Linked DNA regions of Canis lupus familiaris. The main gene of each other region encodes a partner of the protein of the gene in region 7 in a complex. Links are inferred from orthologs where the notes say so. Each region holds a gene or a part of one and is shown on either strand. Other genes may lie near its edges.

Region 1 (4,283 bases), on a different chromosome or scaffold from region 7:
GCATCTGTCCAGTTCTCTGTAGTTGTACCAATACCTCAGTCCTCATTGCTATATCTCTCACCTAAATGGTCGATCTGCATCTATCTCTCCTCCAATCTGTTTATGCTACTGAGTGATCAAGCCACCACCTGTCCCATCACACCACTCTCTCCCCCCACCAAAACAAAAACAAAACAAACAAACAAACAAAAAGCTCGGTCGTTTCCCATCAGTCCTGAAGTAAAAATCCTGCACCTCTACCCACCTCCAGCTGCATCCTGTACCAGACCCTCCTTCATTCCCTCTGAAGTAGCCATAGTGGCCTCTTTCTGCCGTTCAGTCATTTTCCTCCCATTTGCCGCAGGGCCCCTGCACATGTTGTTCTATATGGAACGCTCTGCCTTTCTCCCTTGACCCAAATAATTACAATTCTTCCTTCAGGTATCAGTTCGGGCATCTTTTCCTCACAGAGGCTTTTCTGCTTATTGCAGACACTCATAACATCAGGCACCTCTCCTAGGCAGCACGTATTTTAAAGCTCTTAGTGAGATCACTGTTTAACATGCTTGCCCTCAATATTCAAATATTTGAATTGTTTGTTTGTTTTTAATTTATTTATTCATGAGAGACGGGGGGGGGGGTGCAGAGACACAAGCAGAGGAAGAAGCAGGCTCCATGGAGGGGGCCCGACGTGGGACCATCTTTGGTTCACAATGTATCCTCTCAGGGCTCTTTCCAATAAACACCAGTTGGACAATTAAGGAGACCTAGTTCCCAGATATGATTCCGAATTTCTCCACAGGACTGTGCTCTGGAGAAGCAGCAGTCGGATACTCCTCTCATCCCTGTCTCTCCCAGAGGCACTGAGCAGGCCCTCGTAAAAGGCTGCATGACCAGTGGCAGAAACAAGCCGGCCTCCTCAGTCAGAGAGAGGAGCCTGGTGGAGCTGGGAGACAGGCCCTTCCTCCCTGGGGGCGTTCGGCACAGGCACAGGGCTGGACACGGCAGGCGCTGGACGAACGAGTCGGCGGACGAGGGCCCCGGGCGGCCGCAGAGACCCCAAAGCCCTGCTCCAGCCTAGAAGGGGAACCCAGGCTGCTACGCGCCGACGCTGGGACCCCGGGGCCCGCCTCAGGCCCCTGCAAACCTTCAGCTGAGAAGAGCCAGGCTCACGTCACACAACCGAGGCGCCGTCTCTAGATGCCGCAGCCACCCACCCTCGACCTTCCTTCCACTTACTCTGGGTCAGCTCCCGGTCTCCCGGCCGCAGCATTGCGCGAAACGCCAAAACCAGACAACGCTTCCACCCACAAGACCCAGCGCGCCTAGGTGGGACTCCAGCTCCACCCACCAATCCCAGCACCGCACTCCCGTGACGCCAGAAAGAACTGACCAATAAAAGAAGAGTATTCAGGGAGGCGGTGCAGAGGGGATTGCTGCAGACCGATTGGTTACTCCAAGCCGGAAGTTCTGGGGGAAGAACTAAGTCGGAACCAATCGCGCGCTGCCTGAGGGTGTCGGCGCGGTCAGTGGCGGCGCTGAGGAGAGCGGTTGCCGCCATGATAGAACAGCAAAAGCGCAAAGGCCCGGAGTTGCCACTGGTCCCAGTCAAGCGGCAGCGGCATGAGCTGCTGTTGGGAGCGGCGGGGTCGGGCCCCGGAGCTGGGCAGCAGCAGACGGCGCCGGGAGCTTTGCTACAAGCGGTAAGTGGAGTCGCGGGCGGCCCTCGGGCCTCAGCTCATCTTCCCCTCAGGGAGCCCGCCCCCGGTGATCCCGCAGTGCGGGGTAGGAACGGGAATAGCTGCCTGCAGTTCACACAGGAAACACTGTAAAAGCGGTCGACACCCCCCCTGCCCCCCCGGGACGCTCCGCTCGTTACCTGGTTGGACGCCCGCTTTCAGCGTCTCGACCACCCTGGGAGGTGGCGTTACATTTAGCGTTAAGGACCTTGAAGTCAAAACCCGCACCGGGGCTTTTTCGTATTAAATCTTCCACAGGGACCCAGCGTGGAGTAAACATTCAGAAAACTTTGTAGAACGGCTGAAAAAAATGAATGAATGAATGAATGAATGAATGAGGAGAGAAAGGAAACGAATGAGCCCGGCTTGCTTTGGTCAAGATGCCCGCCCCCCCCCCCCCCCCCCCCATGTCTCAGCACTAGTACTGTTACTAACAACAACGGAACGAGAGCTGACCTTCATTTAATACCTGTCCTAAGGGCTTTGTGTATGAAAACCCCATTAATCTTGGTAACAGCTTAAGAGTTAGGAACTCTCAGTGCCCTGTTTTGTAAGCTCTTAACCCGGTAAGTGATAGGAAACGGTTTTAAAGCCGAATCCATGCTCTTAACTGCATTTCTTGTAAGATGGAGGTAATAACGATCACCCCTCTGCTGGGCTGGTAGGCTCCGATCAAGAAGTAAACGTCTCCACTCTCAACCTCTCCACCAGCCGGTGAGCAAATCCTGCTGGCACACCGTCCTCAAAATAGATGCCAAATTGCTAATCCTTGTGCCACCTCCATCACTCGCCCCTGGTCTAAGCCGTTATTTTTCTCATCTGGCATTATTGTAGTGAGGTCCTAACTGGTATTTCCTGTTTCTATTCTTTTATGGTCCATCTATTCTCAGTCCAGTGGCTAGAGAATCCTGCTAAAGGTCAGCTCGTGTTACCCTCTGCTGAAAACTTTTGATGGCTTTCCATTTCACCCAGGGTTAAATCCTTACAATCCTTAAAATCTTTTGCCCATTTTCCCTTTACCTCTCAGATCTACCAATTTTCCATTACTCCCCCTGCTCCAGTCACACTGGCTTCCATGCTCTTGCCTCAAAGCCTTTGCATTTGCTGCACTCAACTGGAATGCTCTTCAAAATATCCACGTGGTTTACACACTCAGATCCTCCAAATCTTTGTTCAGATATCACTTTTTCAGTAAGGGCCTTCCTGACTACCCTGTTTTAAATTGCAATACCCCATATGTATTAATCCACATCGCTTTTTTTCTTCCGTAGCACATACCAACCTGCTATATGTTTTGTTTTCTCTCTTCGTCTCTTCTCTTCCTCCTTTCCACGGGAACACAAACTCCATTGTTTATTTTGTTCAGTACTGTTTTCCCAACGCCTAAAACAGTGCCTGGCACGTTAATTTTTTTTTTTTTTTAAATAAATGAGTAAACTGAAAGCTATTAAGGATGTTTGGGGATTATCAATAGTGTACCAGGTCTTCTCTCTGACCGGAATGTCAGCCCAGGTTCCAGTGAATTGTCCAAGCCTAGGTTTAGTGTCAAGACCATAGTCAAAACTACTTTCCTGGGTAATATGTACCTTGCAGGGTTGTTGGGAAGCTCAGTTCAGGCATTAATTAAATGTGCTAGAGACTGGGAAAAGTGTTGAATGCAGGGTCCCTGCAGTCACAAAGCTGCTTTTCTACCGGGGAAGAGGACAAAATGTGTAAACCAATACAAAGGAAGGTGATTTCAGGTAGTCTTAAGTGCTGTGAGGAAATACAGTAGGATTAATGGAATACAGAGGGGAGGTGTGATGCTGCTTTGAGTTTGAGTGATCAATGAAAGACTTTCTGAAGAGGAAACATTTGGAAAGAGCTAAACACAGGACGATCAAGGGAAGAGGATTCCGATCAGGAGCAAGAAGTGTAAAGATCCTGAGACAGAAATGAGCTTAGCATATTTGAGCAATTTAAAGTTGGCTATGGGACAGAAGGAGCCTGAGGGAGTAGTCAGTATAACTGGTAGACACTGGACACTTGAGTAGGAGGGTATCAAATTGGAGGCCTAAGTTAATGTGAGAAGAGTTACCATTCTCTAAATCAGGAGAAATCTACTCAATGATTGTTTACCGTGTCTTTTGTAGTCTCCTTTGCCTGTATGTAGTAACTACCCTGTACTTCTGTCTTTTGTTTAGGGACCTCCAAGGTGTTCCTCCCTTCAAGCGCCAATCATGCTTCTCTCAGGACATGAAGGGGAAGTGTACTGCTGCAAGTTTCATCCCAATGGATCCACCTTAGCATCTGCAGGCTTTGATCGACTGATATGTAAGAGATAGTTTTTGAAGTTGGGATAATCACTCTCTGCTAAATAGTGATTATTTTTTAAAACCTTTAGTGCCACAGAGTGTATCAGTCTGGATTATTCGCATTACAAACTGCATAGCTAAAACAGTGTAAGGAGAATGTTGAATGATCTTGAATATAGACCTCAAGATCCATGTGGTAAATACAGAGGAGATTATGTTACTAGTTGAAAAGTGAGTTGCTCTTCTTTGAGAATATCTTCCTCATGGAGGC
Region 2 (2,558 bases), on a different chromosome or scaffold from region 7:
TGGATATGCATAATGAAATGATCGCTACAGTTGAGCTAATCAACACGTCCTGAAATCCACTCTCTTGGCAAATTTCTAATATTCAATACAGGATTAACTTCAATCATCATGCTGTGTGTACATTAGATCTCTAGACTTACTCATCTGTACCTAACTGCAGAACAGAACTATTTTAAAGTCATCTTTCTCCCACTAAAGAGTCCCTTCTATTTGCTGCCACAGTTGTTCATCCATTCATCAAACGTTTTTTGAGAATGCGAGCTCTACCAGGCCAAGTATCGCAAGTGTGGTTATCACAAAAAAGATGCCACAAAAGAAGCTATGATAAATGATGGCATCAAAAAAGTATACGCTACTTTCCCCCAAGTAGTTTGAATTCACACGAGGGAGTTCTCAGAAAAAAAAAAAAAAAAAAAGAACCCAAAGCGTAGGCTATAAGGCGATCATAATGAAGCGATGTACAGGAGACTTTACGTCTGTCTGGTGTGGCCAAAGCCGATTTCAAGGAGATGCTTTTGAGCTGACTTAAAGAGAGAAGTTGTTTGCCAAGGGAACAAAAGCATTCCAAGCGGAGGGAACATCTAGTACAAAGAACTGGAGAGGCGAGCGGCACGGAATGCTGAGACACACAGGCTGGGGTGCGTAGGGTGGGGCGAGCAGCTGGAGGCAGGACATCAAATGAAGCAGCTGGAGCGCCGGGGGGCGGGGGGGGGCGGGGGGGGCGGGGCTCGGTGTGGGAGCCCGAACGTGTCGGCGCCCGAACGTGTCGGCGCCCGTAGGGTCCTCGGGCACCGGGCGGGAAACGGCGGCCCCGCCAGCGCTGAAGGAAGACGCACAGCTGGGAGCCGCAGTCGCGTCGACCGATTCTCAGGGTGACCCACCCCGGGCCGTGACGGGGCCCACCACGCCGCCACATTCGCTCCGAAACCAAAGTTACACCGAGGTTACTCTCACGGCGGCCTGTGGCAGCTCCCCATTTCTTCGCAGCTCCCAGCCGCCCAGGGATGCTCCCCGCCTCCCCGACACGACGCTCCACCAGGCGCCGGCGGGCTCTTAAACCGCGACGACCGCCCAGGGAGGCGGGCGCGCACGAACCCTCGGCGACCGCAGCTCCCGGCATGCAACGCTCCGCGCTAGAGCAAGGGCCACTGAATGAACCATGATGCAACGCTCTACGGAGGGGGCGGAGCTCTCCATGGCGGGGGCGGGGGGTGGGCGGCCGACTGGTAGCGTCGCCTAGGCAACTCCAATTCCCTGACGGAATACACTTCCGCTTCCTCCTCTGAGCGCTAGGACCGCGAGTCCTCGCGGCTCCGTGGCTGTGACGTCATTCTCCTGCGACTGAGCCGGCCGGGAGGTGCCGTGTCGTGGGCTCTCTCCCGCGTGGAAGTCTAGAGCAGCTTCTCCTCTGCGGCGTCTGACCTGGGCGCGAAGGGAAAGCGGCGAGATGACTGACCGCTACACTATCCACAGCCAGCTGGAGCACCTGCAGTCCAAGTACATCGGCACGGGCCACGCCGACACCACCAAGTGGGAGTGGCTGGTAAACCAGCACCGCGACTCCTACTGCTCCTACATGGGCCACTTCGACCTTCTCAACTACTTCGCCATTGCGGAGAATGAGAGCAAAGCGCGAGTCCGCTTCAACTTGATGGAGAAGATGCTGCAGCCTTGCGGACCGCCAGCCGACAAGCCGGAGGAGAACTGACACCCCCGTCTCGTCACTGCCACGCGGGAGCGTGTCCCGAGTTCCTCCCGTTTGCCGTTTCTCCCGCGTGTTCCTGCCCCGAAGTGGACCGGTTCTCCATTGCTCCTGTTTCTCGCGCCTTCCTCGTGCACAAGTGCTTAGCTGAGGCCGTCCCGCCTGACCTGCTTTCCTGTGGACCCTTAGGAACAGCGTTGGGAGACTGTCAGGACCCGTGAGAACTGAGACGGTGGAGAGGTCCTAAACCAGCAAGAGAGGGGGGAAGGAACTGGGATCAGACGGGATTTGGAGGCTCTTTTTTGGCTAGTTGATTGTCGTTTCTTTTTCCATAAAGTCTAGAAGTTTTTCAATCACTTGGTGTGGACCACTTGCGTTTGAGTGGAAGGGGGTCCAAGGAGGGCTTTGGGGACTTTAGTTTCTTGGGAGACCGAAGAGGCGGGAGATGGATGGGTGGAGGAGTTGAGCACAGGGCCAGCGTTCATTGGCATACAGTTAAATCCGCCTTGCACGATCTTTATAATATTCCCCAACCCAGACTTCTCCCAAGAGCTTTTTTCAGGCCCATAATGCCTTCAGGACTGAGGATTAAGGTTTATGATCACTGTATCCCTCTTTCATGTTCTTGCATTCAGAAAAATCTTTACTAGCATTGCCCACTCCTCTATGTAAGTTGCATCGTCTCTTTCTCTTGGGATTCTGGACACATCCTGAAAAACGACAGGCTGTCAGACGAGTTCTTTCATTCATTCGGCATTCAACAAATACTTGTTGAGTCAGTTCTATGTGGTGGGCATTTTGCCTCGCTTTTGGAGCTTATGTTATACTTGGGGGGGCACACAAATTGTAGGCATAA
Region 3 (2,294 bases), on a different chromosome or scaffold from region 7:
TTCCCTTTCACTATTATTTATATTCCCCACATGAATGAGAACATATAATGTTTGTCCTTCTCCGACTAACTTACTTCACTCAGCCATAAAAAATATTTAAAAGCACTACTTGTAGTTATCCCTAGTCATCATCTCAATGTTATTGGGACTCAGATCACCATCTTATAGTTCAATATCCCAATCTTCTTCTTTTTTTAAAAAAGATTCCAATAAATAAATAAATAAATTAATTAATTAATTAAAAAAAAGATTCCATTCATTTATTCATGAGAGACACAGGAAGAGAGAGGCAGAGACACAGGCTGAGGGAGAAGCAGGCTCCATGCAGGGAGCCTGATGAGGGACTCGATCCCAGGTCTCCAGGATCACACCCTGGGCCGAAGGCAGGTGCTAAACTGCTGAGCCACCCAGGGATCCCCAATATCCCTATTTTCTTAGATGTTCCCTTGAGGAAGGGGATCTGCATGTCTTAGAGGTGCTGGACTAGTGCCCTGTGAGTTTCTTGGAACTCTGAAAGTCTATAATCTCTACCAACTCCTCAGTTACTGCCTTTCATGATATGTTTAACTAATCAGGAAAGGGACAAGGAGCATAGACTGCAGGAGCCAGACAGACTAGTGTATTAATTTTCTGTAGCTGGGTAACAAATAACCATACACTTAGTGGCTTGAACACATACTCATTATCTCACGGTTTCTGTGGGCAGGCATTTAGGGATGGCCAAGCTTGGTGCTATGCTACAGGGCCACACAAGATTGTAATGAAGGTGTCAGCCAGGACAGAGTTCTCATCTGCAGGAGCCAATTCTACATAGGGACTATAATAACTTGGATGTGTAGATTTATGTATTTCATCAAATTTGGAAAGATCTGCTCACTATGTTTTCAAATATTCTTTCTGCCCCTTTCTCTTTCTTCTCTTATTCTGCAGCTCCAATCAGGTGTATGTAGGTACACAGGAAGGCATCCCATACATTTTTGTTTGTTTCTTAAGTTTCTCAAAGAGTGATCCTTAAGCCAGAAGCATTGACACCACCTCAGAAGTTGTTAGAAATATAAATTCTGGGGCACCTGGGTGGCTCAGTCAGTTGAGCATCTGATTCTTGGTTTTGGTTCAGGTCATGTTCTTGCAATCATGAAATTAAGTAAGCCCTGTGTTGGGGCTCCATGCTCAGTGGGGAGTCTGCTTTAGATTCTTTCTCCCTCTCCCTCCCACTCATGTGTTCTCTCTCTCTCAAATAAATAAATAAACAAATAAACAAATAAATAAATAAATCCTAAAAAAAAAAAAGAAATGTAAATTCTTAGGCCTTGTTGCAGATGTATTAAAGAAACTCTGGGGTCCGCTTCCACCATGGCGTACCGTGGCCAGGGCCAGAAAGTGCAGAAGGTGATGGTTCAGCCCATCAACCTCATCTTCAGATACTTGCAAAATAGATCTCGGATTCAGGTGTGGCTTTATGAGCAAATAAACATGCGGATAGAGGGCTGTATCATTGGTTTTGATGAGTACATGAGCCTTGTATTAGACGATGCCAAAGAGATTCATTCTAAAACAAAGTCAAGAAAACAACTGGGTCGGATCATGCTAAAAGGAGATAATATTACCCTGCTCCAAAGTGTCTCCAACTAGAATGAATGATCAGTGAAGTGAGAAATTCTTGAGAAGGCCACGTAGTTTGTTTTTTTAGATGTCCTTTGTTGGGAATATAGTTCTAAAACCCTTGTTCATATTGTTTTGATTACCTTTATGTTCTTACCAGAGGACAATAAATGCTGTGGGATTGTTTTTATTAAAAAAAAAAAAAAAAGAAAAAAAAAGAAACTCTGGGGATGAGGCCCAACAATCTGTGTGTGTGTGTGTGTGTGTGTGTGTGTACGTGCATGCGTGCATGTGTGTGTGTTTTAATTGAAGTTGATACACAATGTTATAGTAGTTTTAGGTGTACAACATAGTATTTGACAAGTCTACATATTATGCTATACTTACCGAAAGTGTAACTACCATCTGCCACCACACAACCCAATTACAATATCATTGATTGTATTCCCTACCCTGTACTTTTCATTCCCTTGACTTATTCATTCCATAACAAGAAGTCTGTACTTCTTACTCCCTTTTACCCATTTTGCCCATCCCCCTAAACCCCCTTTGACAACCACCAGTTTGTTCTCTGTATCTATGAGTCTGTTTCTGTTTTGTTTGTTCCTTCATTTTGTTTTTTTAGTTCCACACATAAGTGAAATCATATAGTATTTGTCTTTTTCTGTCTGAGTTGTTTCGTTCAGCATAAT
Region 4 (4,174 bases), on a different chromosome or scaffold from region 7:
CCACTGTTTGCTGTAAATGTTTAATCACTTGCAATTAAAAAGTTTCCATGTGGTTAATATTACGAGCTTTGGAGTCAGATCTGTTTGAATTCCCACTCTAATGCTCATTGGTTATTTGACCTTGGTCAAATTGGTTAACCAATCTAAGTCTGTTTCTTCATCTGTAAACAAACGTATGCTTGACGGGGATGGGAGAACCAAATGGGCCAATGTATGTAAAACCTCTAGAATAGAGACTGGCATAAATAGAAGCAGCTCCTCTCCACCCGGATAGTGGCACAGGGTCTGTCCCAACCAGACAAGGCAACACTGAGATGGGAGAACAAAAAGATAAAGGTGGGTCAGACCACAACACAATTAGGAAATTTCAGGGGAAGTTGCCTAGCCGGGTCATTACATTCTAATGAGGAATAATCTCTTCTGAGTGGTTGTCTGCATCCCTACCATGGAAGACTCACCGTCACCCCGTATTTCAGTGCGAGTCCAGCCAGGGTGTCTCCGGGGGCCAGCTGATGCTCCAGGCGTCTTTCCCTCACCGGGGAGCAGGCTGACTGCACCAGGCTTCCGTAAGAACGAGCCCGGCTCCCCTGTAGCAGTCCTGACCCCCCGAGGGGGGCCTGTCTAGAGGACGAAGCCATCTCCTCACCCCGCCGGCAGCTGGGGTTGCAAGTGAGGGAGGCCTGGCTAAGTGCCGACAGCCACGGGGCTGGGGGCGAGGGACGTCTATCCAGGGGGTTCCTTTCCCCCGTCTCCTCTCACAAACCCCCGTCTGCCCCGGCACTTCGCGCCCCCGCGGCTCTCGTTTGTCCCGCTTCCCAGGCGCCTTCCCACGAATCTGTATCCCGAGGATCCAGTCCCTACCAGAGTCTCTCCTTATTAGCACCCCGCTGACTTTCAACCCTCCCACCACTATGAACTCTGACCTTTGAACCGTAGTTACCCTCCACACTCCGCTCAGCTCGCCCCTCTCCCCCAGGTCAGGCAGCCTCCGCCTCCCAGGTTCCCTTCACACCCCGGCCCCGCCTCGTCCCGGGTTGGTCGGCTTGTGTCAGGAATAAATCCAGCCCCCTCCTGGTGGGCTGTCGGCGGCCAGGGAGGCGCGTGAGGACCGCGAGAGTTTGTACTACACGTTCCACTCAGAGATCTTCCAAGGCCCGCTCCTCAGCAAATCCGTCACGGCCTCAACGTCGGTCTCCACATTTAAGTTCTTGTCTCCCCAGACGCCTCGAATCAGCCAAGATGCAAGGGCCGGGAGCCAGCTGGGTGGCAAGCCCTTTGAAAAAAAGACTTCATTTCCCAAAACGCCCCGCGCCTGCGGGGTCGCCGGGTCGCGTGGGCAGTGCGGTCGGCTCCGCAGGCTGTGGGCGGGCTTTCCGCGAGCGCTGTGCATCTAGGGAAGTAAGGAGGCCAACCGGAAAGAAACCCGACGGGAGAAGACGCCTTACTCTCGCTACGGTGGCCTGAGAGGAGTGGCCGAGGCGGCTCGGGAGAATTGTTCGCTTCTGGAGCTCAGTCGTAATGTCTTTCAAGAGGGAAGGGGATGATTCGAGTCAACTCAATGTGCTCAAAGTAAGCGCGAGAGGGGAGCATCGGGAACAGTTTCACTGCCCCGTGAAGGAGCTGTTTTGTTGCTCTGGCAACAGCTGCGGGGCCGGCGCGACCAGAGCTGGGTAGTGACCCCTTCTTCGCCCAGTGATCTCTGTTCTCATGGTCCTTTTTGCCTTTCAATCTTTGACCCCTCCCTCCTCTCCCACTGGTCCCGTCCGGCTACCCCCTGCAGAAACGGAGAGTCGGGGACCTGCTGGCCAGTTATATCCCAGAGGATGAAGCGCTCATGCTACGGGATGGACGGTGAGGGCGAGGGGTGATCAAGCCCGAGGGTGCTGCGGTTATAGGCTTCGTATAATTTTGTTATCAAGGGGGGAGCGGGAGTATCTAGGATTTTCTGATGGGGGATGAGGGACAGGGATGTGGGTGGTGGAAATTGGGAGACCCTAGAGTTTGGTTTTGGAAAGGGTTGCTAGGTCCAGGTGGAACCAGACCCCACTCACCTGGCACCGAATATCTTCTACCCTCCTCTCCAGCTTCGCTTGTGCTATCTGTCCCCACCGACCTGTACTGGACACCCTGGCCATGCTGACTGCCCACCGTGCAGGCAAGAAACATCTGTCCAGTAAGTGAGGGAAGACAAATCTCTGCAGATCACTCTTGCGGTTTTGTTTTTAATTCTCTTCCCCTCTACCTTCAGGCCTGCAGCTTTTCTATGGCAAGAAGCAGCCAGTAAAGGGAATGGAGCAGAATCCAAGACAGCAGAATGAATTGAGGCAGTCAGAGATCAAGGCTGAGGTAGGTAATCAGGGAGGGGAGGGTGTGTTTTGGGTGGGCCTGCTGCACATCTTAGGCTTGAAGGGCTTCGACTTCTTTCTAGCTCTGAAGACACTGACTGTGTTTCCCATCTCCACACCAGGCTCCTCTGTTAACGCAGACCCGACTTACCACCCAGAGTGCTCTGCACAGAGCTCCTCACTATAACAGTTGCTGCCGCAGGAAGCACAGGTCTGTGGGGTGGGAAAGCCAGAGGTAGGGCGGGTCAGAGGAGATAGATGGCTCTAAGATAAAGGTATTACAAATTGTATTCTCAGGAATATTAATACTCCAGAGATGTTTACTGATATTTCAGAAAAAAAAGAGAATGTTGCTTTTTTTTTTTTTTTTTAAGTTTAGGAAACGGCACTTTGGTTTTTGTTCTAAAGATTTTACTGATTTATTCATGAGAGACAGAGAGAGGCAGAGACATAGGCAGAGGGAGAAGCAGGCTCCCTGTGGAGAGCCCAATGCAGGATTCAATCCCAGGACCCCGGGATCATGACCTGAGCCGAAGGCAGACACTCAACCACTGAGTCACCCAGGTGCCCCAGGAAATGGCACTTTGTGATCCTACTTGAAGAGTAGTAATATTAATATATTCGAAGGGCTCTACAAAGTCTAAAGATTAAAAAAAAAAAACCCTCAAAATGTTATACTAGCCTTTTAAAAATTCATATGATTCCAAAATTCTTTTTTTTATGCAAGACATTTACTAATATCTTGAGGAACACAGTTTAGGAAACACTTCTGTAAGGGATTGGGAGTCATAGGAGAATTGGCCTTTTTCCTTTACTACTTTTATAGACGTTGATTCTTCTCTACCTAGACCAGAAACCCCTCGTCCCTCTGTCTCCCATCCCCCTTTACCACCCCCAGAGGTTGAGCCTGAGAGTGGGAAGATCACTAAGGAACCCATGCCTGGAGCTGGCCCACAGGCCAAGGAGTCAGCAACTGTCTCATCCCCTGTGCCCATGAGCCCCACGAGGAAACGAGCCCTGGATCATTACCTCACCCTTCGAAGGTTTGTATGCAGAATCACTTTCTTCAAGTTTTCTCTTTTCTTTCTGAGTTTTCTTATTTCAATCCTTCTCAATTGTTTTTCTCTTATCCCCATTAACTTCTTAAACCTCTTTTCCTGATTTATTCTATTTTCTGTTATTTGCAGCTCTGGATGGATCCCAGATGGACAAGGTCGATGGGTAAAAGATGAGAATGTTGAGTTTGACTCTGATGAAGAGGAACCTCCTGACCTTTCCTTAGACTGATACCCTCTTTTCCCCCTCAGTTCACAAATAAATTTCAGCAGGCTCCAGGAGTCTAACTTTCTTCAAGTCTACTTCCTTGCCCCATTTCAGGATTTCACTGGTGGATTTTTTTTTTTTTTTTTAAGTAGGCTACACACCCAATGTGGAGCCCAATGTAGAGCTTGAACTCATGACCCTGAGATCAAGACCTGAGCTGAGATCAAGAGTCAAACTCTGATTAACCAACCAAGCCACCCATTTCAGGTGTCCCCCATTTCAGGACAGCCAGGCCCATTCTTCCCTGAAATGTACACAGCTCCCCATACTTCTGACCCCTCCCCCACCTTCAACCAAAGTACTGCCAAGCGTCAGCTGCATGCAGCCCAATGCCCTATTAATAAGTCTGTCAGAAGGAGGTCTTTGCCCTTCATGTTGTCTGCCTTCTTTTTTTTTTTTTTTTTTTTTTTTGTTGTCTGCCTTCTTCCCCACCTTCACTCAAAGTTCTTTCCTCCTTCAGATCACATGAAGTTGTAGTTAGACACCAGGGGCCCTACCCGTATCTG
Region 5 (3,500 bases), on a different chromosome or scaffold from region 7:
GAGAAACTAAGTCTGCACAATGTGATGGCCAGATTCAAATTAGGTGGCTCAATGAGCAAGGCAAGAAGCAAAACACAAAAACAGATGTAATTACACAACAGACTTCTACTCACAGAGGTTCCAGACAATTTGAATTAAGTTTGCATTAATATTCACATTCAAGTGTTAAGAATATGGAATGCATGCATCAAACCAAGGACATGAAGTCATAGACATTAATAGGTCATGTAATTTTAAAAAGCCATTTAATATTTAAATGAGATGAACTCTAAGAAATTGGGAGCCATACCTAATAGATAGGGATACCCTGGGGTCCATCTAAATTCCTTTCAAATCTCTATTTGGCAGGGGAACGGTTTCAAAAAGTGTTTCAAGATGAGTCAGGATTCTACTCAGTAGAAACATCAAATGTTACAAATTGACCACATGTATCTCCCCAGTGATCTCAAAAGATGCACAGACCATATGGGTGCACAGCAAACTCTACCACATGACTCTGGGCTGGGATGGAGCTCAACAGACCATAGGGGGTTCTCTCCAAGGGGGCTACAGTGAAACTGCCATGCTCACTGTTTCAATGCACAGGAGTGAGAAAGGTCTTTGGTTGCACCTAGATCATTTGTAAATCTGGAGTTTCACAGTATGAACCTTCTTTGTTGTTGTGTGACTTGTTATTTTTATGTTTACTTATGTTGACTTGTGGTCTTTATCTATCTTGTGTGTAACTGGTTGTCATTAATTTCAGATTCCAGGGAGAGGAGAAAGACCTGATGCCACACAAGTGCCGTCTGTGGTTTGGATAAAAGACTAGCCCCAAGGACAAGAGGCAGACCAGCGCAAGGTGCCCCGGCGGCATGCTATACCTTGCACACCTCTTGCACCTGTCCAGCTCTTCTTCACTCTGTTCACTTTTGTTCGCTGTTCTTAGAATTTTACCTGGACACTAAGTATTTATAAAGTCCCCCTAATAGCCACAAAAGCATTGTATGAACGTCAGGTCTCGAAAAACCACCTTTAGTATTTAAACACCAGGAGCTGTCTTTCATTAACCTGAGGGTTTTTTTGTTTTGTTTTAAGGATCAAATTTGTGGTACCAAAGTGAAGTTCTCATTTGCCAAGTATAAAATGACTCCCCGCCCAAACCGGCCTGTGCTTGTTGAAATGCACTCAAAATCCATAAGCAGCGCCCAGAAATCTTTCAGTGATTATATTTTTAATGATTTCCCAGAGTAAGTAGCTGCTGTTTACAGCTGCAGTGTGGGTGTTAAGCAGTGTTCCCTGGGGGACAACTAAAAGAACCCTAGGCTGAATGTGGGAAAATTTAAACATTTTGATACACTCTTAGCTCTATTTTCCTACCTTGACAACTACATGGAGGGGTGGTATGTGACATGTGAAAACATGGGGTGAAGCAAGCTTGGGACTCCCTTGAAAGAAAACACATCAGTGTTTCCATCAGTGGGAATATCACCTCCTACCTCAAAATCCATCGGATGAAACATATTTTTGATGATGACAACTCGCTCATGGCGCATTCGAGATGGGCCAGCTCTTCTCTCAGGTCTCCAGTCCAACTGCCTAATGCAATAGAGCAGGAACAAGATACTGAATTTTGTTTCATACTTGCAGGACAGAAAAAAAGGAGTTGTTACAATCAACCTTTATTTGAGTATATAGTGATGCTAATTATTCGATTCTAAAATAACAATATGTATTTCTGGAGAACTTTCGGAAGTAAAACTAATGGGCAGGTGAAAGATGGACCCAGTGTCTGAAATTCCCAGAATGTATCTTTTTTCAGGGCTGCTGTCTGGTTACAAATGTTCCAGTAAGATTCCTGTAAAGAGCCAATTATTTAATATTTATGACTATCTGGTATCTACGCCTACACTTTGAGGGCAAAAAATACATTCTACTTGTATTGGTTTTGAGGCATTTTATGATTATAAGGACCAAACTACATTGAAATATGTAAAACTACTGTTACATAACCAAAAATTTTATTGCTAGGTGTTTATAAAATTGGTAGGTATCTAGCCTATTCCTGTAAAAACTATAGGATATCACAACTCAACTCCTTTATCAGCACTGTTATCATTAAGTTGAGTGCAGTGTTAGAAGTGTTATTAGAACTCACTGTGATAGAAGAAAATACTTATCATTTCAGCCAACTTCTTAAAACCAGCATACTTCAAAAAACCCATTGACATGAATGGATTAGTAGACATTTGATGATGTTTACTGTACACACCGTGTACAACCCTATCAAATACAGTCATAAAAGCTGCTGTTTCTAACTCCTACTGATGAGCCTACACAGACGCCTTAGCTCCTGGCGTAGCTGATGTCAATTCACATTAGAAATGAACTAATGGCTCTGGTAAACAAGCTTCAACTATTTTATTTAACTTCATGTTCAACTTCTTCCAGAGATGGCCCTCTCATCTCATTGAAGCCCGGTTTATATTACAAATTAACACTCCAGGAAATAGACATGCTGCCACTGCCAGATCATCCTGCAGTAGAGATGACTGAAGGTTTCTGATGATCTAATGAAATTCTTTGAAAATAACTTCTGCATACATTTGATGGAACACAACTAAGGAGCTACACCCAAAACATAGTCTAGGATATGTAAATGAAATCATTCAAAAAGCGAAAATCAACACAAACTTCTGTTGCAGAGACAGCTTTTTCTTGTAGTCTTTGCACTTCTTCTTCTTCTTTGAGGCATCATACTCTCCCTTCAGTTGAAACTTGGCCACTTCGACATGCAATTTGTAGCCTCTAATTTCATCTTCGTCCAGAAGCTTTAACGCGAGATCCACAGATTCCCTCTTTATAAAAAGGTAAAATGAGATAGAATTTCCATGCTGAAATGAAACTTGGGGAGGTTTTTTAGGCAAACGATGACTATATGGACAATAAAGATTTCATCACAACTACCTCCTTTGAGATAAAGAACTCTAGGCTGCCTTATCAGGAAACCTGCACTCTAGAAACAGCTGTCCTCAACCAGTTTTGTGAACTTGGGCAAGTTATTCAATTTCTTCATCTGTAAAATGGGAAGAAAAATGCCTTCTTTGCAGGGTTCTTGACAAAATCAAATGAAAGAACGCACATAAAGGATAGGGACTGGCATATAGAAGGTACTTAAACTGCATTATTATTGGAATAAGAGTATTACCTCTTGGGAGTCTCAATTTCTCAATGAGGCAAATGGACTTGTGTGACTTTTAAGGTACAGTTTTATTTATTTATTTATTTTTAAAAATGTATTTATTTATTCATGAGAGACACACACAGAGGCAGAGACATAGGCAGAGGGAGAAGCAGGCTTCATGTAGGGAGCCCAATGCGGGACTTGATCCTGGGACTCTGGGACCCCGCCCTGAGCTGAAGGCAGACACTCAACTACTGAGCCACCCAGGCATCCCTACGGTACAGTTTTAAAATTCTCAAGTACTACTACTTAAAAGACTACATGACTCAAGGAACTG
Region 6 (4,232 bases), on a different chromosome or scaffold from region 7:
AACCAGCAGCATGAGCCGGGGCCCCAGAGGCCGCTGCCCGGCCCCCTGCCCCCTGCCCCCTGCGCACCTTGCCAGTCATCTTCTGGATCTCATTCCTGTAGAATATGAGGCTTCTCCGCATGAACTCGTAGCTGGGGGAGAAAGTGGAATGTGCTCACTCAGGCCCCCCCCTCCCCAGCCCCTGGGCAGGCCCACACCTCACCTGGCTCGACGCAGAGCCCCCATCCACTCCTGACACTGCTCCTCACTGCAGCACTCAAAGTGGTACTTCCTCTCTGGGTCCTCCATGAAGCCTGCGGAGGGAGCGGTCTGTCTGTCCCATCTCACTGCCCGCCGCCCCCTCCGAAGCCCCCCCACGGGCCTCCACCTTCCTCCAGGCCAAGACGACTCCCAGCGGCTGAGTGGACTGAATGGTGCCCCCCACACAGTAGTTCCAGTCCTAACCCTAGAGCCTGTGGCCCAGATACAGAACCCTTCAGAGTGCGGCTACTTAATAAGTCAGGGGAGAATAGGCGGCACAGGACGTCCCCGAGAACATGAAGGGGGGACACGAACACCCTAGGAGTCCTTCTGCAGAGGCAAGGGCGCTGCCAGCTGCCGGCCACCCCGGAAGCCAGGCTCGCCTGGGACAACCTCCCCGACAAGGATCCCCCGCAGGCCCAATGACGTCACTTCTCCAGCCCCAGGGCGCCCACAGCAGGGCCCGGCAGCCCAGTGCAGCACTGCCCAACAGGAGACAAGGTCCTAGAGGAGCTGCACCCCGGCAGCCCGAGGGAAGGGTGGACTTTGTCTCCGCGCAGACCCGCGGCCGGGCCGAAGGGGCAGGGCGGGCGCGGCACTCACAGATGGAGAAGCCGCTGGGCTCTTCCTGGGTGATTCTGCAGCGCTCCAGCAGCAGGGCTCCGACGGGCTGCGGGAGGGGGCGAGTGGGGACCGGCCTCGTGGGGACCCGGGCCCCCGCCCCCGCCGGACCCCAAAGCCCGCCCGGCGCGCCCCCCCCCACACCTGTCCGGGCCCCGCTCCCGGCCCCTCCCCCCGCCCCGACTCCTGTCCGGGCCCCGCCCCCGGCCCCTCCCTCCCCTCCCCCCCAGGCCCCCTCCCTTCCCGGCCCCGACACCTGTCCCGGCCCCTCCCCCGGCCCCGCCCTCCCCTCCCCCCCCCCAGGCCCCCCTCCCTCCCCGGCCCCGACACCTGTCCCGGCCCCGCCCCCCGGCCCCGCCCTCCCCTCCCCCCGCCAGGCCCCGCTCCCTTCCCGGCCCCGACACCTGTCCCGGCCCCGCCCCCGGCCCCTCCCCCGGCCCCGCCCTCCCCGCCCCCCGGGCCCCCGCTCTCTTCCCGGCCCCGACCCCCGCCCGTCGGCCTACCTCGGCCTCGTCCGTCCGGAAGTAGAAGAGGAAGTTGACCACCAGCTTCACCAGCCGCCGCTTCAGCACTGCGGGCACAGGGCGGGCTCACGCGGGCTCGGCCGCCACCCACCCCCGCCCGGCCAGCCCGCCCGCCCGCCCGCCCGGCGCTCCGGCCCGCTCACCACTGCCTTTCTTGGGGCCTCGCATGCCCAGCTCGGCCGCCAGTTCGGCCGGCTGCCGGGACAGCGCCTGCAGCTCCTTCTCGTTGTAGCGCATGGCGCTGCCAGGACCCAAAACGCGGAGCGCGGGCCGCGCCCTCCCGGCCGCCGTCCCCTCTCGCGCCAAAAAAGTCCTACAGTGCCGTCCCGGAAGCGCCGTCGCGGCCACTGCGCTTGCGCGGCCCCGAGACACGCATTGTGGTGTTGGCCGGCGCGCGGCGCTAAGCCAGGCCCGCGTGGGGGAGCACGCGATACCGGCCGACACGGACGGCCGTTATAAATAACCACGCAGTCAGCTGGATCCGAGGTGGGAACCCAGGAAGGCAGCCTCACGACCGTGGCGCCCTCTACCGACGAGCCCACGCCCGCCCTCCCGCGGAAACCGGCCCGGCGCCCGCTAGGCGTGGAGAGCCTGGTGCGCACGCGCACTCCCGAGTTCCGGCCCTTATTCCCAGCCCCGCCCCCTTTCCTCGCCCTCTCGAGCATCAGGTCCGCCTCGCCTGGCGAAGCACGCATGCGCACACGGGAAGCCCTCACCCCTCTCCCCAGACCCCACCGTTTGCCCCCGGAAGCGCTTCTGTAGCCCGCGACGCGCCTGCGCATAACGTCTTCGTGGCAGCGGCGGGCGCGGGGTGAGGAGTCGCGCGGGGTGAGGATCCGGGCTGGCCGAGCGCGGCGGTCCCGGGGCCCTGGCTTCCCCGGACGGGAGCGGCGGGGGGCGGGGGGCTCTCGGGTTCGCGGCGCCGCCGGGCCCCAGCTCCCTGGCCGCGCGCGGGGTCGGGCCCGACGAGTCCCGCCTCCTCGGAAGTGTGCGGGTCGGGTCGGGGCCCGGCGGCGCCGTGGGGTCCCTGGCGGCGGGTCGGGGGGGGGGGGGAGGCCGAGGGGGCGCCCGCGACGGGCCCGCGCCCTGGCGTCCCGGGGCTGACGTTGACTTCGGTTGTCCGCGAACGTGCGTGCTGAGAATTTAGGGTAACAAGCTCTAGACTGAGCATCCCTCTTGGGGCCCCCAGGCGGCCCAGGGCGTGACCCCGGGGTCCCGGGATCGAATCCCCCATCGGGCTCCGCGCAGGGGGCCTGCTGCTCCTCTGCCTGTGTCTGCCTCTCTCTGTGTGTCTCTCATGAATAAATACAATCTTTAAAAAAAAAAAAAAGATTTGTATTTGTTTATTAGAGAGGGGGAGGTAGAGTACAAGCAGGGGGAGGAGAGGGAGAAGCAGGCTGACTGCTGAGCGGGGAGCCCGGGACCCTGGGGTCACGACCTGAGCCACCCGCGCCTCCCGATGGTCTCTGTCCACGGGGGTCTCTGTCCTTTTTTCCGTCCGAACAATGAGATTCTCTCAAGCCCCGGGCCCGGGCTGTTTCCCTTTCTTTGGGAATGCTTTCAGATTTCTTTGAGGATGCCTTCCATGCTTCTTGCTGTTCTCGCTCTGAAATTTCATCTAAGTCCTGTTCTCTTACTTTCCCCCCTGTTTTGCGTTTCTTTGTAAAAGGTTGGTTTGACTTGTACCCGCAAGCTCTTAAGTTCAGCTGTTTCCAAAGGTCTTGGGTTTGGGTTTTAACTGCCCTTGCTAACCTTTGGTGCCGTGCTCTGCATTGGAGGTGTAGTAACTCTCACCCTGTTTTGTTTTGTTTTGTTTTAATTTTTATTTATTTATGATAGATATATATATAGAGAGAGAGGCAGAGACAAAGGCAGAGGAGAGGGAGAAGCAGGCTCCATGTGCCGGGAGCCCGACGTGAGACTCGATCCCGGGACTCCAGGATCACGCCCTGACCGCTGAGCCACCCAGGGATCCCCCCTCTCACCCTCTAATTAAGGAGGATGCTAACATTGCCTGGGGGGGTGGGGGGTGGCTAGCGGATGTGTCTGTGTTTGAGTTCCCAGACTCTAACCTAGCGAGTCTCACTGCCCAGCAGGCCTAGGAAACCAGACAGGCCTAGGTTTCTTTGGGGGTGCAGGGGACTCCCACTGTCAGTGTCTGAGAATACCGTTTCTAGCGTGCTCTCACTGTGTCCCTGGATTGGGGACCTCCAGGTGGACCCTCTGGGCAAGCTGCAGGGGCAGGGCAGGTGTTCATGGAATTCCTTCTTTACAGCCTGGCCCTCACTCCACTCCCTGGCTCTCCAACTCTCTCCCTCTGTGCCTGCCCCTCTAAGTGGAGCGGCCCTTTGTTCAGTTCTTCTGAGACTGTAAAACCTACCCAGGCAGTCGGGTGAGGGCCCCTGGGCTCCTGTAGGGGATGACCTCCCCTGGGGAGGCCAGGAACACTCTGCAGTGGGCTACAAGCAACTGGCACCTTGGGTCTCCAGTGGCTACTGCTTCCCTTTAACTTGGTGACCAGCTCAGTGTTTGCGTTCCGTCTTCCTGAGCCCGTCACTCTAAACGTGGACCCTTTTTGCAACACCCGTGTTGCCTTTGCCCCAGCCAGCCACTAGCATTTGAGGGGCTTATCTGATGGCTTAACAAGGAACTGGAATCCTCACCAGATGGGGTGGGGGGGGGGATCTCCTGGCTTTGTTAACACATTACTTTCCAAGTCAGTCTTATGGCTCTTACTGGCTCCCCACCGCTGGGTCAGTGGGGTGTTCTGGAGATGTCACTGCTAGAACAGGTGACAGGAAGTGAGGGCATGTCTCTGTCCTGGCCCCTGGGTCCCAGCCAAACTGG
Region 7 (2,488 bases):
ACTCTCCTCTGTTACCTGATGTCCAGTGACTTGAAGACCTTTGTTTCATGTGTTTTGCCCATTTTTTTGGTCATGTCAGGTGGGAGGGTAAATCTGGTCCCTGTTACCCCTTCTGCAGAAGTCTCAGGCTTTGCATATTTAGGAAAGAAAGAAAAGAACGGTCCTGTGATTGGAGACAAGGATTAGGTAAGGGGACCAGGTTATGAACCCTGTCATGTAAGGAGGTTGGGTTTATTCAAATAATCATAAGCCTCAGGATTTTTTTTTTAAGATTTATTTATTTACTTATGATAGAGAGAGAGAGAGAGAGAGACACAGGAGGAGGGAGGAGTAGGCTCCATGCTGGGAGCCTGACGTGGGACTCGATCCCGGGACTCCAGGATCGCGCCCTGGGCCAAAGGCAGGCACTAAACCGCTGAGCCACCCAGGGATTCCCAGAAGCCTCAGGATTTTGAACAAAGGACCTGAACTGTTTTAAGGTGTTCACTCTGGCTGCTACATGAGAATAAATTGTTACCTGTTTCAGGGTGAGAGGTGGGGCGAGGTCTAGGTTGATATTGGTGGATTTGCTCTTTTGTGTTTTGTGTGGAATCCTTGAAATACATGGGGAGAGTGGCTCAGATGGTTCTTACGCCATAGGAAGTACTGGGAGTTTGAGTTCTCTATTTTAGAGCTCTGGGTAAAACTTTGGGTAGGAGCTTTTGTAGTCTCCTTTCTCCTGCCATCTTCTCTGTACCACAGTTCTTTCAGAAACTTTCAGCCTGACCCTTAGCCCTTCTTTACGTGTGGGAATCTTGTTCTCTGATCTTCTAAACTTGCTTCTGGAGATCCTTTAACTCAGTCCCCATATTCCTTCCAGGCTGTATTTCCTGCACTGAGCACCTACCCACTCCTTGCTTCTCATGGGCCTCCACGACCTGCAGAGGCAGTCTAGGCATTGTTTATCCTCTGGAAGCTAGGTGGAGGTGCTGCTTGTATGCTCTTTGCTTCCCCTTCTGGAGGCCTTTTAGGGCCTGACCTCATTGTCCTTTGCAGAAGTGAGACACCTCAGCTGTTCACTGTGTTGCCAGAGAAGAGAACGGCCACTGTTGGGGGAGCCATGATGGGATCAACCCACATCTATGACATGTCCACGGTGAGCACTTTTGGGGGCTGGGAAAGGGGGCGGAAACAAAGTCTTCTAAGTCTCTCTCTAGATGACAAGATTGATCCCTTTGCTAGGTTATGAGTCGGAAGGGCCCAGCTCCCGAGCTACAAGGTGTGGAAGTGGCCCTGGCACCTGAAGAGTTGGAGCTGGATCCCATGGCCATGACCCAAAAGTATGAGGAGCATGTGCGGGAGCAGCAGGCACAGGTGGAGAAAGAAGACTTCAGTGACATGGTGGCCGAGCATGCTGCCAAACAGAAGGTAGGAGGTCATGGGAACCCAGCTGGGTGTGAGCCAGGGAGTAGATACCAGGGACTCCTTTTTCAGCGACGTCGTGTCCTTGAATATGAGAATGAGGGTGCACTCAGTGTCTGCTGCCCTGAGCTTCCCTGGTGCTGGAAACCTTAGAAATCCTCTGGTGGGCTGCCCTCTTTAAGATGATGAAACTAAGGCACAGGGAGGGGAACTCACCCAAGTCTGAGACTCCAGTTTTAGCACTGTTTCCATAGATCTATGGGGCTGAGTCAGGTTGCCCATCCTTGTCTTGGGGATCATTGGTGGCTTTACCTGTTGTAACCTGTTTCTCTTTCTTTCTTCTAGCAAAAGAAACGGAAAGCTCAGCCCCAGGACAGCCGTGGGGGCAGCAAGAAATATAAGGAGTTCAAATTTTAGGTCTCCCTCACACACCTGGCCTCCTTTAGGCCTTTTGGATGCTTGGGCTTCACACATGGTCCCCAAGAGCCAGCTCTCCCACAATTCCCAAGGGCTTGTCATTTCATGTTCTTATTTTAGACCTGTTTTGTAAATAAAACTGTTTCCCACGGAAAGAGATGCATATGCAACACTTCTGATCCTCCTTTGTCTTTTAACCACCTTGTGCAAAAGGACTAAAACAGGCTTTTTCTGCAACTTCAGGGCTGCTCCAGTGACCAAGGGCATGCACCTGGATCAGATGCTGCAGTTGAGACTGGTGATAAAGTGAAAGCCATGCTGAAATTGTGCCTCACCACTGCCTGTTTTTCTAAGAGGGCTCTCGGGGAAGTACCTCTAGGCCTGGTTTGACCTTACTGCTTTGTCCTTGGAGACTAAAAATAGCCAGCTTAGCACCCTGGCTGGGCTGAGGAAGTGCAGTGGGCTTGGGAAGTAGGCCAGGTCAGGCCTTCCTATAGACCTATGGTCAAAAGAGTCCCAAGTCCATACCTTGGGGAGAACACAGCTCCATATCTAGATTGTCCTGAGTCCATATGAACCCCTGAATAGTTTAAGTCACTAACTTGGGGGGGCGGGGAAGGCTTGCTTTCTTCAAGTTGTCTGGTCCCAAGAAGTCTTCCCAACAGGCTAC

The links.
Region 1: SF3B2 (region 7) and SNRNP40 share a complex: the UniProt entries of both Homo sapiens proteins name them as parts of the minor spliceosome. The link is inferred for Canis lupus familiaris from reciprocal best matches to the Homo sapiens genes SF3B2 and SNRNP40.
Region 2: SF3B2 (region 7) and SF3B5 share a complex: the UniProt entries of both Homo sapiens proteins name them as parts of the SF3B subcomplex of the 17S U2 SnRNP complex. The link is inferred for Canis lupus familiaris from reciprocal best matches to the Homo sapiens genes SF3B2 and SF3B5.
Region 3: SF3B2 (region 7) and small nuclear ribonucleoprotein E-like share a complex: the UniProt entries of both Homo sapiens proteins name them as parts of the minor spliceosome. The link is inferred for Canis lupus familiaris from reciprocal best matches to the Homo sapiens genes SF3B2 and SNRPE.
Region 4: SF3B2 (region 7) and SCNM1 share a complex: the UniProt entries of both Homo sapiens proteins name them as parts of the minor spliceosome. The link is inferred for Canis lupus familiaris from reciprocal best matches to the Homo sapiens genes SF3B2 and SCNM1.
Region 5: SF3B2 (region 7) and HTATSF1 share a complex: the UniProt entries of both Homo sapiens proteins name them as parts of the 17S U2 SnRNP complex. The link is inferred for Canis lupus familiaris from reciprocal best matches to the Homo sapiens genes SF3B2 and HTATSF1.
Region 6: SF3B2 (region 7) and SF3A2 share a complex: the UniProt entries of both Homo sapiens proteins name them as parts of the 17S U2 SnRNP complex. The link is inferred for Canis lupus familiaris from reciprocal best matches to the Homo sapiens genes SF3B2 and SF3A2.

The regions. Positions count from the first base shown.
Region 1 is NC_049223.1:69,116,098-69,120,380, forward strand, and holds the start of SNRNP40 (U5 small nuclear ribonucleoprotein 40 kDa protein), read left to right. Parts: upstream 1-1,483; 5' UTR 1,484-1,538; coding exon 1,539-1,682; intron 1,683-1,858; exon of another isoform or gene 1,859-1,997; intron 1,998-3,901; coding exon 3,902-4,031; intron 4,032-4,283. UniProt on the Homo sapiens protein: Required for pre-mRNA splicing as component of the activated spliceosome. Component of the U5 small nuclear ribonucleoprotein (snRNP) complex and the U4/U6-U5 tri-snRNP complex, building blocks of the spliceosome.
Region 2 is NC_049222.1:35,794,967-35,797,524, reverse strand, and holds SF3B5 (splicing factor 3B subunit 5), read left to right. Parts: upstream 1-1,313; 5' UTR 1,314-1,447; coding exon 1,448-1,708; 3' UTR 1,709-2,058; downstream 2,059-2,558. UniProt on the Homo sapiens protein: Component of the 17S U2 SnRNP complex of the spliceosome, a large ribonucleoprotein complex that removes introns from transcribed pre-mRNAs.
Region 3 is NC_049222.1:93,813,111-93,815,404, forward strand, and holds small nuclear ribonucleoprotein E-like, read left to right. Parts: upstream 1-1,334; 5' UTR 1,335-1,353; coding exon 1,354-1,632; 3' UTR 1,633-1,794; downstream 1,795-2,294. UniProt on the Homo sapiens protein: Plays a role in pre-mRNA splicing as a core component of the spliceosomal U1, U2, U4 and U5 small nuclear ribonucleoproteins (snRNPs), the building blocks of the spliceosome.
Region 4 is NC_049238.1:60,887,577-60,891,750, forward strand, and holds SCNM1 (sodium channel modifier 1), read left to right. Parts: upstream 1-1,374; 5' UTR 1,375-1,518; coding exon 1,519-1,569; intron 1,570-1,780; coding exon 1,781-1,851; intron 1,852-2,084; coding exon 2,085-2,173; intron 2,174-2,248; coding exon 2,249-2,346; intron 2,347-2,467; coding exon 2,468-2,556; intron 2,557-3,193; coding exon 3,194-3,388; coding exon of another isoform or gene 3,389-3,532; coding exon 3,533-3,632; 3' UTR 3,633-3,693; downstream 3,694-4,174. Other genes in the region: LYSMD1 (lysM and putative peptidoglycan-binding domain-containing protein 1), read right to left, coding at 459-638; TMOD4 (tropomodulin-4), read right to left, coding at 3,371-3,534. UniProt on the Homo sapiens protein: As a component of the minor spliceosome, involved in the splicing of U12-type introns in pre-mRNAs. Plays a role in the regulation of primary cilia length and Hedgehog signaling.
Region 5 is NC_049260.1:107,807,800-107,811,299, reverse strand, and holds part of HTATSF1 (HIV Tat-specific factor 1), read right to left. Parts: intron 2,838-3,500; coding exon 2,674-2,837; intron 1,579-2,673; coding exon 1,479-1,578; intron 1-1,478. UniProt on the Homo sapiens protein: Component of the 17S U2 SnRNP complex of the spliceosome, a large ribonucleoprotein complex that removes introns from transcribed pre-mRNAs.
Region 6 is NC_049241.1:57,268,151-57,272,382, reverse strand, and holds the start of SF3A2 (splicing factor 3A subunit 2), read left to right. Parts: upstream 1-1,432; 5' UTR 1,433-1,528; coding exon of another isoform or gene 1,529-1,622; 5' UTR 1,623-1,871; exon of another isoform or gene 1,872-1,979; intron 1,980-2,046; exon of another isoform or gene 2,047-2,213; intron 2,214-2,429; exon of another isoform or gene 2,430-2,533; intron 2,534-4,232. Other genes in the region: PLEKHJ1 (pleckstrin homology domain-containing family J member 1), read right to left, coding at 68-131, 203-293, 844-910, 1,365-1,432, 1,529-1,622. UniProt on the Homo sapiens protein: Component of the 17S U2 SnRNP complex of the spliceosome, a large ribonucleoprotein complex that removes introns from transcribed pre-mRNAs.
Region 7 is NC_049239.1:51,700,026-51,702,513, reverse strand, and holds the end of SF3B2 (splicing factor 3B subunit 2), read left to right. Parts: intron 1-1,035; coding exon 1,036-1,135; intron 1,136-1,221; coding exon 1,222-1,407; intron 1,408-1,746; coding exon 1,747-1,818; 3' UTR 1,819-1,988; downstream 1,989-2,488. UniProt on the Homo sapiens protein: Component of the 17S U2 SnRNP complex of the spliceosome, a large ribonucleoprotein complex that removes introns from transcribed pre-mRNAs.